Linked DNA regions of Caenorhabditis elegans. The protein of the gene in region 1 interacts with the protein of each later gene in a pairwise test. Each region holds a gene or a part of one and is shown on either strand. Other genes may lie near its edges.

Evidence for each region.
Region 2: the proteins of F11C1.1 (region 1) and F45D3.2 interact in a two-hybrid assay, tested with the Caenorhabditis elegans proteins (one large-scale study listed by BioGRID).

Annotation. Positions count from the first base shown.
Region 1 is NC_003284.9:12,985,870-12,993,591, reverse strand, and holds F11C1.1 (CHCH domain-containing protein), read left to right. Parts: upstream 1-3,012; 5' UTR 3,013-3,237; coding exon of another isoform or gene 3,238-3,356; 5' UTR 3,357-3,367; intron 3,368-3,677; coding exon of another isoform or gene 3,678-3,753; intron 3,754-3,799; coding exon of another isoform or gene 3,800-3,877; intron 3,878-3,924; coding exon of another isoform or gene 3,925-3,996; intron 3,997-4,038; coding exon of another isoform or gene 4,039-4,098; exon of another isoform or gene 4,099-4,248; intron 4,249-4,383; coding exon 4,384-4,419; intron 4,420-4,464; coding exon 4,465-4,573; intron 4,574-4,905; coding exon 4,906-4,990; intron 4,991-5,045; coding exon 5,046-5,158; intron 5,159-5,990; coding exon 5,991-6,028; 3' UTR 6,029-6,260; downstream 6,261-7,722. Other genes in the region: vwa-8 (VWFA domain-containing protein), read right to left, coding at 1-537, 585-701, 781-1,266, 1,314-1,424, 1,756-1,985, 2,033-2,093; F11C1.7 (Mitochondrial fission factor), read right to left, coding at 2,476-2,538, 3,292-3,356, 3,678-3,753, 3,800-3,877, 3,925-3,996, 4,039-4,098; mff-1 (Mitochondrial fission factor), read left to right, coding at 6,389-6,457, 6,603-6,722, 6,872-6,955, 7,002-7,077, 7,395-7,522.
Region 2 is NC_003283.11:12,538,252-12,544,976, reverse strand, and holds F45D3.2 (Homeobox domain-containing protein), read right to left. Parts: upstream 3,939-6,725; 5' UTR 3,900-3,938; coding exon 3,810-3,899; intron 3,758-3,809; coding exon 3,187-3,757; intron 3,134-3,186; coding exon 2,997-3,133; coding exon of another isoform or gene 2,989-2,996; intron 2,702-2,988; coding exon 2,510-2,701; 3' UTR 2,000-2,509; downstream 1-1,999.

The sequences.
Region 1 (7,722 bases):
TCTTTCCATAATAGTCAAAAACTCTTTCTCTCCAACAAGACGATTTCCATTTGGTAGATCAAATCTTCGATGATAAATCAACTGCGAGAGTGACATAATAACACTAGAATGCACCATTTCGACACCATCCAAAACACAGACATCTCCATTTCTTGCTGCAGTCACAAGAATCGAGTCTTCCCAAACTGTATCGCCATTTTCTTTCATATGTCTGCGTTGGATAAGCTCTCTGGTGTTCATATCTTGATGCAGAACCATTGTGACATAATTGAAATTGAGACGTCGTGAAAGTTCGCCAAGGATTCTCGATTTCCCAGAGCCTTTTGGTCCAATTAGGATAAAGTCTCCTTTCGAAAATGCTAGAGCAAGATCCGCGATCAGATTTTCTTGCTTTGCGGTTGGAATCCAAGTAGACGCAAATGAAGTAGGATGTGATGGTGTTGGCAGCTTCATCTGGATCTTTCTCTTGTCAGCAGGAACTTGAACCGTATGTAAAGCACCGTCCGTTTTCAGTTCTCTGGTGCGTTCATGAGTACTCTGCAGAAAATGTTTTGAATACTCTGAGAAACATAATTGTAACTTACCAATTCAAACTTTGTCTTGAATGTGTTGATAAGATCTTTTTCACTGTCAGATAGAACTTCTTTGGCAGGATATGAGAAGTTGACAATTTCTCCTGCGGAATAGCTGGGATTCTCGTTCTGAAAATTGAAACGTCAATACAATTTTAGATCAATTTCAATACGCCTTTTATCACTTTCGAAAATAGTGTACACTTACCCAAATCTTCAATGTATTCTCTACGACAGCTGTGCCGATTCTTGGTCTTGAAGTTGACGCTTCCGAATTATAGGCATACACAACGGATATCAAATCGTTAAGATTTGTCTCACTAACGTTTGGAGCAATGAGCTTCGCTTGTTCCAAAAATGTGTGGAACGATAGCTCCTGAATATTTCTGCATTGGAATCTGCTTCGGAACGGCGGATCCAAAGAATTTCCCGGGAATCTTGGTACGGGAAGACCAAGGGCTATGACATGGAAGTTTTCAGAAACTCGCTCCATTCCCATCTTCTTCAGTGTCGCTTCATCGTATTTCACCTTCAGCTCATCGTATTTGTCATGCTTCATCAAAAATCTTCCATCGTCCAATTGCATTTCTCGATTTTCCAAAAGATTGTTCAGGATTGGAAGCACGTTTCGTTCGGCTCTTTCCACACCATCAATTACTAGCACTCTTCCTTTCAATGCTGCACGAACCGCACACTATGAATGAGAAATTGAAATCTCAAATTTTTAAAGAAAGTGCTTACCAAGTCTGTGTAATATGCAGTTCCATCTCTAATTTCACGTCGCTGTTTGATATCTGCTTCGGTGGTGTCTCTAGTGATTGGTAGGTACTCAAACTCTCGATTTGTAGCTTCCTTTAAAATTATTTTATTGAACACGGTGAAATTATTAGATTATTTTATACTAGTTTTTCACAAAAAATTTACCTTTAATAACTATAACTGGTACTTATTGGTTTCGTTCCACCCAAAATGTTTTAATTTTCTAAATAACAATTAACCACCTTTCATGTTAAAAGCGTGAACAAAAATAAGGAACGAAGCATTCATTTCTACAAATTGTTCCAAAAAGTTCACGTTTTTGTGGTTGATTGAAACTTAGAAAATTAAAACATTTTGGGGGAACGAAACCCATAAGTACCCTATATCTTTTTACTTTTATAATTTTATAGGAATAAAATCTTACCAAATATCTCAAGACAAGTTCCAATCTGATTTTTCCCGGCACTCCCAGCAGAAACACGTCTTGCTTTAATTTGTCTTTTTGAATGAGCCATCTCAAATGTGGGAGCAAATCCTGTGGGGGATTGTTTTTCTGCCCATAGAAGGCTGGGACAAAGTCTGGGTTCTTTGCATCTTGAAGTTGTACACTAACACTTCCGATAGTCAGCGTCGATGGTTTGGAGCTAGTAGATGCTGAATATTCACAATAAAAATTGTTTTGTTAAAACTTTCTTGGATACCTGTAGTTGTTAAAACCTTTCTTGCGTGCTGCAAGCGGAGAAGTGAAACCCGTGTGATCATGGGAGAAAACCTGTATTTTTTACCTGAAATACAACTACAATAATATTCAATTCTTAAAAAGTAAATACAAAAGTGAGTAATTAATATCAAAAAACACTTTAAATAAAAAACTTGAAATATTCAATTCAAATCATTTATCAAAACTCTCACAACGGGATTTGAGATTTTAAAGCGATGTAGTGTGGGGGGATCGAGATTCGTTAAAAATGTGAACTTATGCTTTATAAAAAGTTAAAGCGGTTGAAAAGTCTAGACGAGAGTCAAAATGTCGAGATTGAAGGTACAAAGGAGACTGTTCTATTCGTATCATTGTTATCATTTTGGACAGAAACATGACGTAGTGGGGGTAGAGAGAAAAAATGAATAAACTGATTGGTTATAATTACTTGCGAAGTAACGAGATGAGTGTGACGAGTGCGAGACCAGCCAAGCCTGCCCAGATGAACTGCAATAAGAAAATCGATAAAAATATGGGGCCCTCGAGGTGCACAGAGAGTGCACTAATCAAGAGGATTAGAAACACTGTGTGTTACGTACACGCAGGGTGATGTGCGTTCAGTGATGTGTGGTCTATGGACCGTTAACAAAGTACGCGTAGTGCTACAACGTAAGCTACACACAACTAGCAAATTCGCGAAAAGTGTGATGTGTATCAGAAATATGTCAGTTACTGCGGAGCAACGATTTTAATTTTTTCGAAAATATATTGTTCTTTTTGAAAGAAATAAATACAGTCAAAAATAAGTTGTTCTGAATAATCTTCAAAATCAAGACTGCAGAACTCGTAAATCGAAAGTTTGTAGGAAATTCTGTTCAAAATTATAACATTATTAGGCCGCCGCACAAGAAACACCTATATATGGTGCTGTGTAATGCAATTTTATATGAAGCTTTTTCACTACTGCCAAATTGATTATTCAGATTATCCAATGATTTGAAATATCCCGAGTTTTCAACAGTATTTTCGAAAGCTTCGCATTCACATTCCCATCCAAAAAGTTTTGCTATGCAGCAGTTAACTTTTATTAGTCAAGTTATCGTTTTCCCTCAAACATCGTCCTGATTGAAATCACATTGACTTCAAAACAACACATCATGGGAAAAACATCACACTTCCTAGCCATGTGTTTTTCTAAAACACTTTTCATTCCTGGTCATTTTGTCTCAAACATGCTGAACATTTACGTTGTGAACAAACCTGCTCGCGACGATCTCTTTTTGCATTGTCTTCAAGGAGCTTGTCGAGGGTGTGCGTGATGTCTCCTGAAATACAGGTTTGTTATTTTTAAGGTTTTTTCTTCAAAAATTTTCAATTGGTTTTATTAATGTTTTCATGAATAAAGTCAACAATAACGTTCAAAAAATGAACTACGACTTTTTGAGTAAATGATAAAAACCCATTCATATAATGCTACTGTAAAAATTGATAATTTGTTATTTACAGTCCAAAAATGGTGAAAACTGTGCCATTTTCTACATTAATAAATAATATTATGATATTTGGTCATTTTAACACTATTGGAAAGGTTTTTGATTATTTTTCCATTTGCCGTACTACAACTGTAAATAAATCTCACTACTGACTTAGTTGAGTTCTGACGGTTTTTATCTGACGAACAGGATCGGTTTCGCAGTGCGCTTCGACATCGCTGTGGAAGTGCTGAAATTTTTTAAATACTCGTCGCACATTATCAGTTTAAATTTACATCTGCAAATTTATCCATAATTGCCATATAATCCGCGGATTCGTATATGGATCCAACCGCTTCTTCGGGAATCTGGAACTAAAGCTTCTCAGTTTTTTTGGCTGGAATTTTGTCTCAAAACTAACAAAAAAGTGATCGTGTCCCGCTTCAATTTTCCTTTGATCATCTGTTGGATTTGTTGCAGGGTTTGAGAAGTTCTGAAAGTTTCACATTTTCCTGGCACCTTTTCTCATACAAACCTCCATTCCCGTCATAGACATTGCGTCTCCAGTGCCTGATATATGCTCCGGCATATACATATTTTGTCTGTACACGGGTTGCCACAAAGAATCGATAAAGCGAAGAGTGTTTTGTCTCCTCGCGCAACGTTGCTCCGCACTCCGTGTTTAGCCACTGTCTGTCGCCTCTGCTCTCTCGTCAGTCGATTTACGAACCTTGTTGTTGACGACGAAAAAGTGTAATTTTACTCATTTTAACTTGTTTTTGCGGAACGAAATTCAAGAGAAAAATAATACTTTCACCAAAGCATATTTTTTTCATTTAATTTCTTGAATCTTAAATTATTTAACAATAAAAAATTTTAGATGACAGAATCGATCAACTCCAAAAATTCCAATGATGTAAGTTATTTTCCAAGTCAATAATATTTTTTTTAAAAATTACAGAAGCAATATGTAATGGGAAAAGAGGAATTTTGGGATGATATCAAAGATTCGTATTTTCAAAAGTTAGCAAACACCAACCCGAATGATGTTTATCCAGATAATAATCCAGGTTTGCGTTAGCTTTGATAAAATAGTTTTTGGCTTTTGATATGAAACCTGGCTTTATATTTTGAAATAATTCACCATTTTTTCTATTTTATACTCAATTTTTGTTCCAAATAAGAAATGTAGCTTGACGCCGTAAAAAAAGAACGTAACAGAAATGAAACGAGTTGTTATTTTTGTTTCAAAATAATTAATGGAATGAAAATGTTAATAATTTTGATGCGATTCAATTGATAAAAATAATATTCCATTTTTCACAAAATAAATTTCCCCAATGCTCCTCTCAAGACTTTCAACCGCCTAACTACTTTGTGTAACTAAATTTAAACCTTACAGGACCAGAAAACCCCGATGGAACAGTTAACTTTGAATGTCACTGTGTTGGACATTTGGTGGCAAGCCCATGTGGCTACGAGTTCAGGTATTGTTTAACTGTTAACGTTCAAAGTTTGGAAAGACAGATGTTCACTTTTCAGAGAAGCAATTTCATGTCAGAAAACGTCAAGTGATGAGGAAATGGAAAATGGGGCGTGCGGTGAACAATTGATGGCGTTTATGGAGTGCGCGATGAGGACTCAATGTTTCAAGAGTGGGTTTTTAATGTTTTGCAAAAATTATGAAGATCAAACACTGCTGAGTTGTGCAAATTTTGCAAAATTAAATTCAATCAAGAGTTCAAGTTTAAACGGGAGAAAAATTTTGCAAATGAATAAGTGATGCGTGATGGGAATTCTAAAAAAATTGTGTTAATATAGAAGGGTACTTGTAGTGGTAGTTGTAGTCTAAAAAATGTGTGTTTCATAAATGAAAAGCTTAAATTTAGTAGATATCTTGAGATAGGAAACGATATTACCTCGGCTCAAGAAAATTTGCAACTCAATCAATTTTCACACGAGGACAAAAAAAGGAGTTTGGCAACAAAGAAATGAAAAATCTCTTTTGGGGTTCAGCTACTAAGAAACATAACCGACTAAACTTAAATGCCAAAGGGAGCTTGCTAAAAATAATATCAGCCTTCAGATTTCTTTTCTGGTTTGATTTCTAGTTCTGACTATAAGTTGTATTGTTTTTGACGTCACGCCTATTGTTAATTTAAAACGAAAATGTACGTATTTGTTCGTCATTTTATTTTCACTCGACATTAAATCAAATCAAATGTAGTATTGTTTTTGGAAATTTGATTACTGAATTGAACCAGAGCTTTACAATTGAATTTCGGGACCAATGATAACTTAGGGCCGCTTAATATGTTAAGAAACATGACTTTTTATAAAGTTTACTATAAAGTTTAAACAACAGCGAACAATTCAGTGAAGGCTGAATAATATTCATGACGCATGTTTTTTAATCACAGACTGATGGGCATGAATCCAATTATTTAATATATACTCTCGAAAAAAAAACTTGTTTAACAATTTCAGCCAACGACTCGAATGATGAGAAGTCAGCGGAAAAATGAACACATTGTGCCCATGGAAACCGACTCCTAGCAACATGTTGCTCTGATTTGAGTAATGCATTTTTTTGTATTAGGTTCTCTTTTAATAACGTCACTTTTTTGTTTTTATTTCTTTTGTTCTTTCGTTCTTATGATGTTTTTTTTTCTGATCATTGTGTTTTCTTTCTATTTCTTTTTCTCCCTCAAACTATCCGTAACACACGGGTTCATAGTAAACGATTTGTTCCTTTTATCTCTCGTTGTTTTATCACTACTTCGGTTCAAGGTCCGAATAACATTACTACCTTTTACAACGTACATATTGATTTTTCATCTTTTCTAATATATTTCACAAATTCGTTCAGATTTTTCAACTAGATGATGCAAGTACCGGACCACCTGTCAGTGACAGGTGCCGACCTTATGCAGATAGACCCGCTCAATAGATTGGTGAGTTTTTTTCTCCTTTGTTTGGGCGTGCTGACCTCAACTGGCTTGCGCAACCTTAGAAATTCTATACATTTTTGGTACATATGTACACAAAAAATGTTCCGTTACCCGTTTTCATATAATTTAGATTTCATATTTATTTCAGATGAACAAATTTGAAGAGGCCCGGACAGCAATGCTAGAAAGAATGAGCGTTCCAGAGCACATTACGGTAAATGGAAGAGCGACGCTGGTTCCAGAAGAAAGGAGAGTTTTTAGAACTACGGTGAGTATTTTGTTAATTGTAATGTCAAATATAAATATGAAAACGTAAAGATGCGGTTCTTTTTATTTTCACCACCTGTTTTTTGGTGATAAATTGTAATTAAAAAGTATTATGGGCTTCACAATTTACCAAACATGTTTTTATTTCAGTCACTCAGAATGGAAGTCCCCAATCATTTGAACGTGTTCGACTTAAAAGAGGATGCAATCAACCATAACAACAATCAGAAAATTGTAAAATTGCGTGAAAGTATCCAAGATATCAAGTTTTGAATTCCAGACGATTCCCACTTCATTTGACTCATCAAATGTGCAAAACCCGTACGAGGAAGTGAAAATGATGCAGAAAAGAATGAGTGAGTTCAGTTAAAATTTAAAGTGTTTAAAGTGAAGAAGCAAAATTTGACTTAATACTCTAAAAGTCTTACAACTCCAATTTTAAAATTTCAAAATTTTCCATAATTTGACGGCTGTTTTTGACGGACATTTTTAAGGTCTCCAGACTAAGCAAAAAAACCTTTCACAACTGTGCGGCGTCACATCAATTTCACTATAATTTGCTAGTAGAGAGTACATACAACGTCACACTTTTCAAAAATTAGTTATTGTTGATAAAAATTTAACAATGTATTTTTTGTACAAAAATAATGTTTTAAATTACCGATGTTTTCAGTTGTTCTCATGGGCCGGCTTGGAGTACTTGAAAACCAAATCGTCGTCCAAAAAAGACGTGAAAAAGGACTTCTCCTTGCATTAATAGGAGCTGTTATAACACTGGCATACTCATACCTCCGACGATAAGCTTGTTGTATAAAACTGTTAATCACAAATATCCGAGCCTTTCATATAATCACGAGTATTTTATTAGATTGTCACCATGTCCATATAGATTTGTACAACTGTTTTAATTATTATTTTTTAATACTTGTACTCAAACCCCTACACACATTTTGCTTTATTTGCATTTACGAATTTTGCCACAATCAGTTCAGAACACTCAC
Region 2 (6,725 bases), on another chromosome or scaffold:
CCCGATTTAAAACATATTAGCTCTAAACGTCTTTCTTGAGTTTTGAAATTAAAATGTAAGCAAAACCCCAATTAATTGTTTTACTCACAATCAATATTAAATGGGCATATTTTCCTTAGTATTATAGTGTGTCTCGCTCTATTAGAATTGCAGAAAACGATTTGAAATTAGACTTACCTGTCCTATAAATTTGTGTTCACAAAATATAGTGTTAATTTATTCACGAAAATGCTAAACGATCCCATCACGGAGCCATAACTTTGTGAATTTTTTCTTTTCCATTTCGCAACATCATCAATAGAAAATAGTTTTCCTTAGATTTAAGAAGTGCAAAAGTCGTAGATCATGCGTCTAGAAATTTTGCTCGTGCAGCAGAAAGAAGTTAGATGGAAGAGGTGATGTGAGATGCACTAAAGAAAAAATAACGAGAGTTGAAGCATTTAGTACAAGGAATATGGTAGTTTTGGAGGAGAAACATTCTAAGTGCAGAGATGATGCTCCGATTCAAGAGCAATTGTACGCAATCTGCAAAACTAAGTCTTGTGGTGTATCAATTTGCAGCAATTGGAAAACATTTGCAAAAAGAATAAGCATAATAGGAGAAACTTCATTTCATGCCGCCCAAGTAAAAAAAAGAAGTTTTGAGCCTTTAAAAATTTAGGTGGATTAGGCGGTTAGTCGAAATACATAATGTAGAATTTTTTTAAATTGCCAAATGTTTAAAAAGTGTGCGGTTTTTTCGCATGTTTGAATCTCTTCAATATTTGCCAAAAAATGTTTTAAACCTAATTAGATTTCCTAGAAATAATTTGCCTTCCAAAATTATGACTGGCAAAATTTAAATAATCAGCACTTTTGCCAAGTTTTTTGCAAGTTTTTTGCACTATATGAGTGGATTCCAACCATTTATTCATTTGTGTCACATCACATTTAAACGAACTGTGTGTTTTCCAAAATTTGATTTCAAGCTCTTATGCAAGTTCGAACAATTCAGATTTTTTTTACGGCAAGTATCGCATTTCATCTTCAAAAATTTCGCTTGGTGTATAAACTACTGATGTGCATCCAAGAAGATATTCTAGTTTATTTTGAACTTGAACTATATCTGAAATTGTTTTGAGGCACTTAAAGTTGCGGGGCACTAAAGTTGGCGGGAAAATTGTGTCGAATTGCACTCTACGGGTCGTGATTTTTAAAGTGTTCACGATTTTGTAAATATTTCATTACATCGATGATCTCCTTTTTACAAGTGTGCCAACAACATTCAATTGAAATTTAAAAAAAAAACACCGCGAAACGCCCGTGAAGATTTGCTGTATACCCCTGAAAAATATTTTTTGTGCAAAAATAAAATATTCCCGTTTTTATTTTAATGTCAAATTGGTCTCGAACCATTGGAACTTGAACCTTGTTATTCGGTAATCTTTTTTATTTGGGACACTTTTTTCAAAAACTAACACATTTTCCTATTTTAAATATTCAAAATAGCCTAAAATTGATTTACCAACTTATAAATTGTTGCTGTCTTATCACACTTCTATTTAAAATGCTGTTGAATCAAATTCAAACAGTAAAGTGCTTTTACCGGACACCCACGTTCTATTTTTGAGTTGTTTAGCTACTTATTTCATCAGGCACATTTTTGTTTGCTTAGGAATAACTGTACTTCATAAGTCATATTTCTGAAAAGCACTTGCAAACGTTGTAAGTTCACTGTAAATTTTGTTTATGCTTTGAACAACTACAGTCTTCATCTAAACTTCGAAGGTCATTCTCTGAAAATGTGACATTCTGCTGAAAGACTTCCGCATCCCCCATTGCCCTTTTTTATTTTCCTAAAAACTGGGTAACTGATCAATGAAAGTGCAAAACGGAAACTGGAAATGAGAGAAAAATGACGTGAACTTGTCGAAAACAACTCAAAAGTCTAAGCCACATGATTTAAAATAGTACGGTACTTGATGTGTTATTTTTTTCTGAAAACTACATTTGGATGAACTTATCAATTTGCAGAATGTTTATTCATATTTGTTTGTACAGATTGATTATTTTTAGAATTTAAACGTTTAATTTTTACAAAAAAATGTTAATCATTTGAAAGGCTGGGCAATGTTGTGAGAATTACATTGAGACGTTTGGAAATGAAGGTTTAAGCTTAAAACAGGAAATACAAAGTTGGAAAATATGAAACGGACATAAAATATTAAAGCATTGAAGTTTTGTTCAAAAACATTAAAATTAAATTTTCCTCTTTGACCATCCAAAAGAAACAGTTCTAGTCAAAGAGAAAAAAAAGAGAAGAGCAAAAAATGGAACGGGGAGACGAAAAATGCACACGCAACGGTTGATCCTTGAGACGTAATAGTGAGTAGTTTTTGAGAGCAAAATAGGGGCTATTTCAACGGGGAAAACTGTAACCTATCCATATTGAGTAAAATTGAACTTAGAGTAAAAGCTGGTTGAAAACGAAAAAGAAGTGGATAGGTATAAATAATGAGAGCTAAACGTTCTACTCTGCAGCTACAAGTTCCTGACGCACAGTTTCCTTGACCAAATCATCAAGTGAAAGGCCTTGTTGTTTTTGACAAAAAGCTTTTTTCTCCTCATCGGTTTTATCGTCGAGTTGAAAAGCTTCAATGCACATACATGCGACTGCCGCTTGGATTCCTTGAAGCATGACTAGTTGTGAACGGGGCTTCTGCTGAAAATAAAAAGAGTTTAAAAAATGTATTTCAAATTTCAAAGAGTGTGCAAATTGAAATTTTATTGAACAATTTAAACTTAATGACAGATCAAATAAAAATCAAATACTTTACTTTCACACCAGAGCTGCGTTTTTAAAATTAATTTTCTAAAACAAAAATTGGTTGTAAAATATGCAGTTCTGTCAAGCACGACAATATCATTAAAATGTGAAAAAAGTAGAAGAATAGAGAGAAGATTTCGATTTAAACTATTAAGAAAAGGAAGAATCGAAAAACTACTAACTTGTGTACCTGATACTTTGGGTAGTGGCGGAATGGCGAATCTGGTCCGACCTCGTCTGGAAGGTCTTCGTCTCGAATAAGACGGCGAAGTGGGCCACTTGCGCTGACTTCTGGCTCTAATTTTTGAAGGGGCATGGATTTGAGCACTGAAATTTAGAATTGTAAATTTAAATTTATAAAATTTGAATATACGACTTACATTCTTGAGTTTTTCTTCTAACAAGATCCTCTTCCTCTTTTGTTACTTGAATTGGTCGAACTTTATTTGGATGCACATCTGCATCATCATCTTCTACTAATGTTCGGAGCACAGATGTAGTTATAGAGCTTGATGAGGGAGACGAATTCGAGGAACATGTAATGGTACTTGTTGTAATTGGAAGTGATGGTTCCATCTTTCTTGTTCTCTTTCGTCGTTTCTCTTGATCTTTTCCGTGTTGCAAAGTGGCAGCGCTTGAAAATGCTCTTGGGCGTCCATCAGCTGCTAATCCAGCAGTAAATTGGTTAACTGGTGAGTTCATTGCAGCTTGAACATCTTTTTGTTGTTGATAAAGGGCTGAGTTGATAAGTCCCAATGATTCGATTGTTGAGTGTGGTGGAAGATTCAAGTATGGCAAAGTAGACAAAAGTGGGAATCCAGTGAACAGGCCAGGATAGGCACCTAGGGAAAGCATTGAAAGTGCTGTCATATCGTTGATTGGAGGAAAAATACATGAAGATGTAGAAGTAGATGCCGATAAATCACTGCTTGATGCAGATGATGGTTTGCTCTGAAATAATGAGATTTTGATTTATATTTTGCATATTTGATTTAAAACTTACAGTTACTGGGTTAAGAGTCAAATCATGTGGCAAGGCAGCAATAAGAGCCTGAAGCTCAGCGCTTCCAAGCTGGGAAGTCAGTTGGTCCATTTCTTATTCTTTTGAATGCAAGGGAAAAGAAGATATCCCTGAAAATATTCGAACGTTTTTCAAATGTCACTGTAATCGTTTAGGAATTAGAAAAATAGGAAAAGGAGGAACAGACTAGTGAATCAAAACGACAAATCGCAGTGTCGAAAACAAAAAGGACAAGGGAATCTGGAGGCAAAGTGCAGAATTTCGGCGGCGGCGGCGCCCGCAAGTGTACTGAAACTGGAGATTCATCTCTGAGCGAATGTGATCAAGTTTTGATGGAAAAATGTCGGAAGTCTAACAAAAAATTTCAGCTTCAGTCTCTGCCAAACAGGGAATTCGAGGGAAAAAGTGGTGAACCGGTGTCCTCAACAATACACAGACCACGCACACACACACACACGTCTATTCTATTCTATTTTGTCACTTTTCCTTCTATTTTTTCTTACTTTCCCTTCTAGCTTTGTCGTTGTTTTTTTCCCGGTTTACTCTCACTCTCCACACTCACATATGAAAAACAAGAAGTGCTTTAGAGACAGACAGGCGTGCGCAATTGGTTCCAAAAAGGATATGAAGGTGCCCTTCATGGTATATAAACGATGATGATCATGACAAAAACTGGAAACTGAAAAGGTGAAGTCAAGTGTACTTCAACTGAACTTTTTGCTTAAACTAATAATTTTCAAGATGCCAAAATGAGGATTTAAGGAAGATCGGATGCCAATTTTAGGGTTAGACGGATAAATGAGGGATTCGATGTCTTAAAAAACAATCAGTGACTCAAATGCACTTTTACAAAAATGAACTGATATGAATAGAACTTTGCGTGAAAGCGTAAAACGATTTGATAAGCTTCCTGACAACTGTGACCAAAAAAATGACAAGCCAAAACGTGAGTAGCATGGCAATGAGTGACTGACGTCCTGGCATCTCGACAGAAGGCTCCGCCCACTTACGCTCTCGGAAAGGAAAAAAAGATGAAGAAGGGGGTGGGTGGGGCATTGAGAATGCTAGGAAAAGTGCAAAAGAGGAGGAGAAGAAAGAAGATTATGGAAAGGACTAATAAGATGCGAGCAGCTGAAATTAATGATGTAAAACTAAAAACATTATTGGGCACAGGTTATGCATTGCTCAGATAGTTCATATTAAATTTATCTGCACTTGTTGGCAAATATACAAGAGATAGCAGCTGATTGATATTCTAACTATGGAATATGAAAATTTACTTGAGCACGAAATTGACGTAGTTCTCAGAATAACTGAAACAGACACATGTACCAGACACATGGACACACATCATGAACTTTTTGTTTTGTTTTTATTCTTCAATAACTGTTCTGATCGTGATCACTAAAAGTTCGCTTTTTTGCTATTCATTTCTATTATCTAACTCATTTCTTATCACAAAAAGGCATCATGAAGACGGAAGATAAAAATGTGATTGAGACCAGATCAGATTAGAGAAGCAATAACAAAATAGCAAAAAGTACAAATTGACCACGTCAAGATCTCACATGCAGGTGTTATGTGTTATGTTACATTATGAAGAAAAAATGAGTCAGTATCTATCAGAAAATCTGACTAAGATTAAGCTTGAATAAGGAAGAAAAAGGAAAGGAAAAGGAATGGAGAAGTATGAGAGGTCGACCTTTCAGTCTGGGGATGCCTAGGAGGCCTGGCGCTGCGGGGAAGTGCGAAATAACAAAAGGGCATGTAGAGTATGATGGAGAGATAGACGACACACACATTTTCTCTCCACGCTCAGAAGAAAAAGACGGAAAAAGAAGGACCCGTTACACAAATTGATGTACCCTCTATCTCTTCCTTGGTGGAGACTGGGAACCAAAGTCGATGTGAAAACCTCATGGGAATTTGGCTACTGTATTTGGAAAGAGAATTCTTGTGGTGACGTTAGTGATTGGGTCACAACTAACTAAAAACAAAGATCCAATAAAAACCTTGACATGTTATAAAAAGTTTAATGAAGAAGAGGAATAGAGATGGAAAGTGATTCAAGATTATCGAGAAAAATAAGATCTTTGGCAGTAGAGGCCAACTCTCGTCTTGACAAATTGATGGAGTACTTGCGATCAGAAGAAAGTTGAAAGTCTAACATGAATCATATAAGATTTCGAATAGTTTGCATTTGTGAATTAAAGTTTTGAATAGCGAAAACAATTTGAATAATTTTTTAATTAAATGTTTAGTATGTTTAATCGTCAGTTGTAAGTAAGTGACCATTTGGATTGGGATACTTGATGAATAAATATTTTTGGAGTATAAACAAAATCTTGTAATCTTTGGGAAGATTAGCGGAAACCTGTTGAGATGGTAGGTACACCATCTCACTACATATCGACATTAGTATCTGAATATCAAACCCTGTAGGTGAAAATGGTGGGGGCGGTACGACCGGGTCGCCCCGAAGGAGAAGGTGCCCCGCCCCATACGGTTTACACTGAGACGCAGGACAAGGTATAGAGGGAGGGCGATGGCGGAAAAGTACATGCAAACTTTCTATTGTGCCCTACTACTACATTTGCTTCACTTACCGACCATTGAATTAGGTTCATGAGTGAGCAATAAGATCTTAAGATTTCCAGAGAGTTCAAGAGCAACTTTTCATACCACAATAAATGACGTGGCCGCTTTTTTTTCAGATGGTGAATGAGAGTGAGAACCAGACAAAAACAACAAAATAATTTCAGAGAACACTACTGTGTGGCAAAGGGAAAAAAGAGAAACGGGTAGCCGTCGTGTGGGGTTTCTTGTTCTGCAGCTGAGCTAGTGCAAAAATGGTGCGATGGCGAAAACAACTTTGGTGACTCAGAGAACAGAAATATT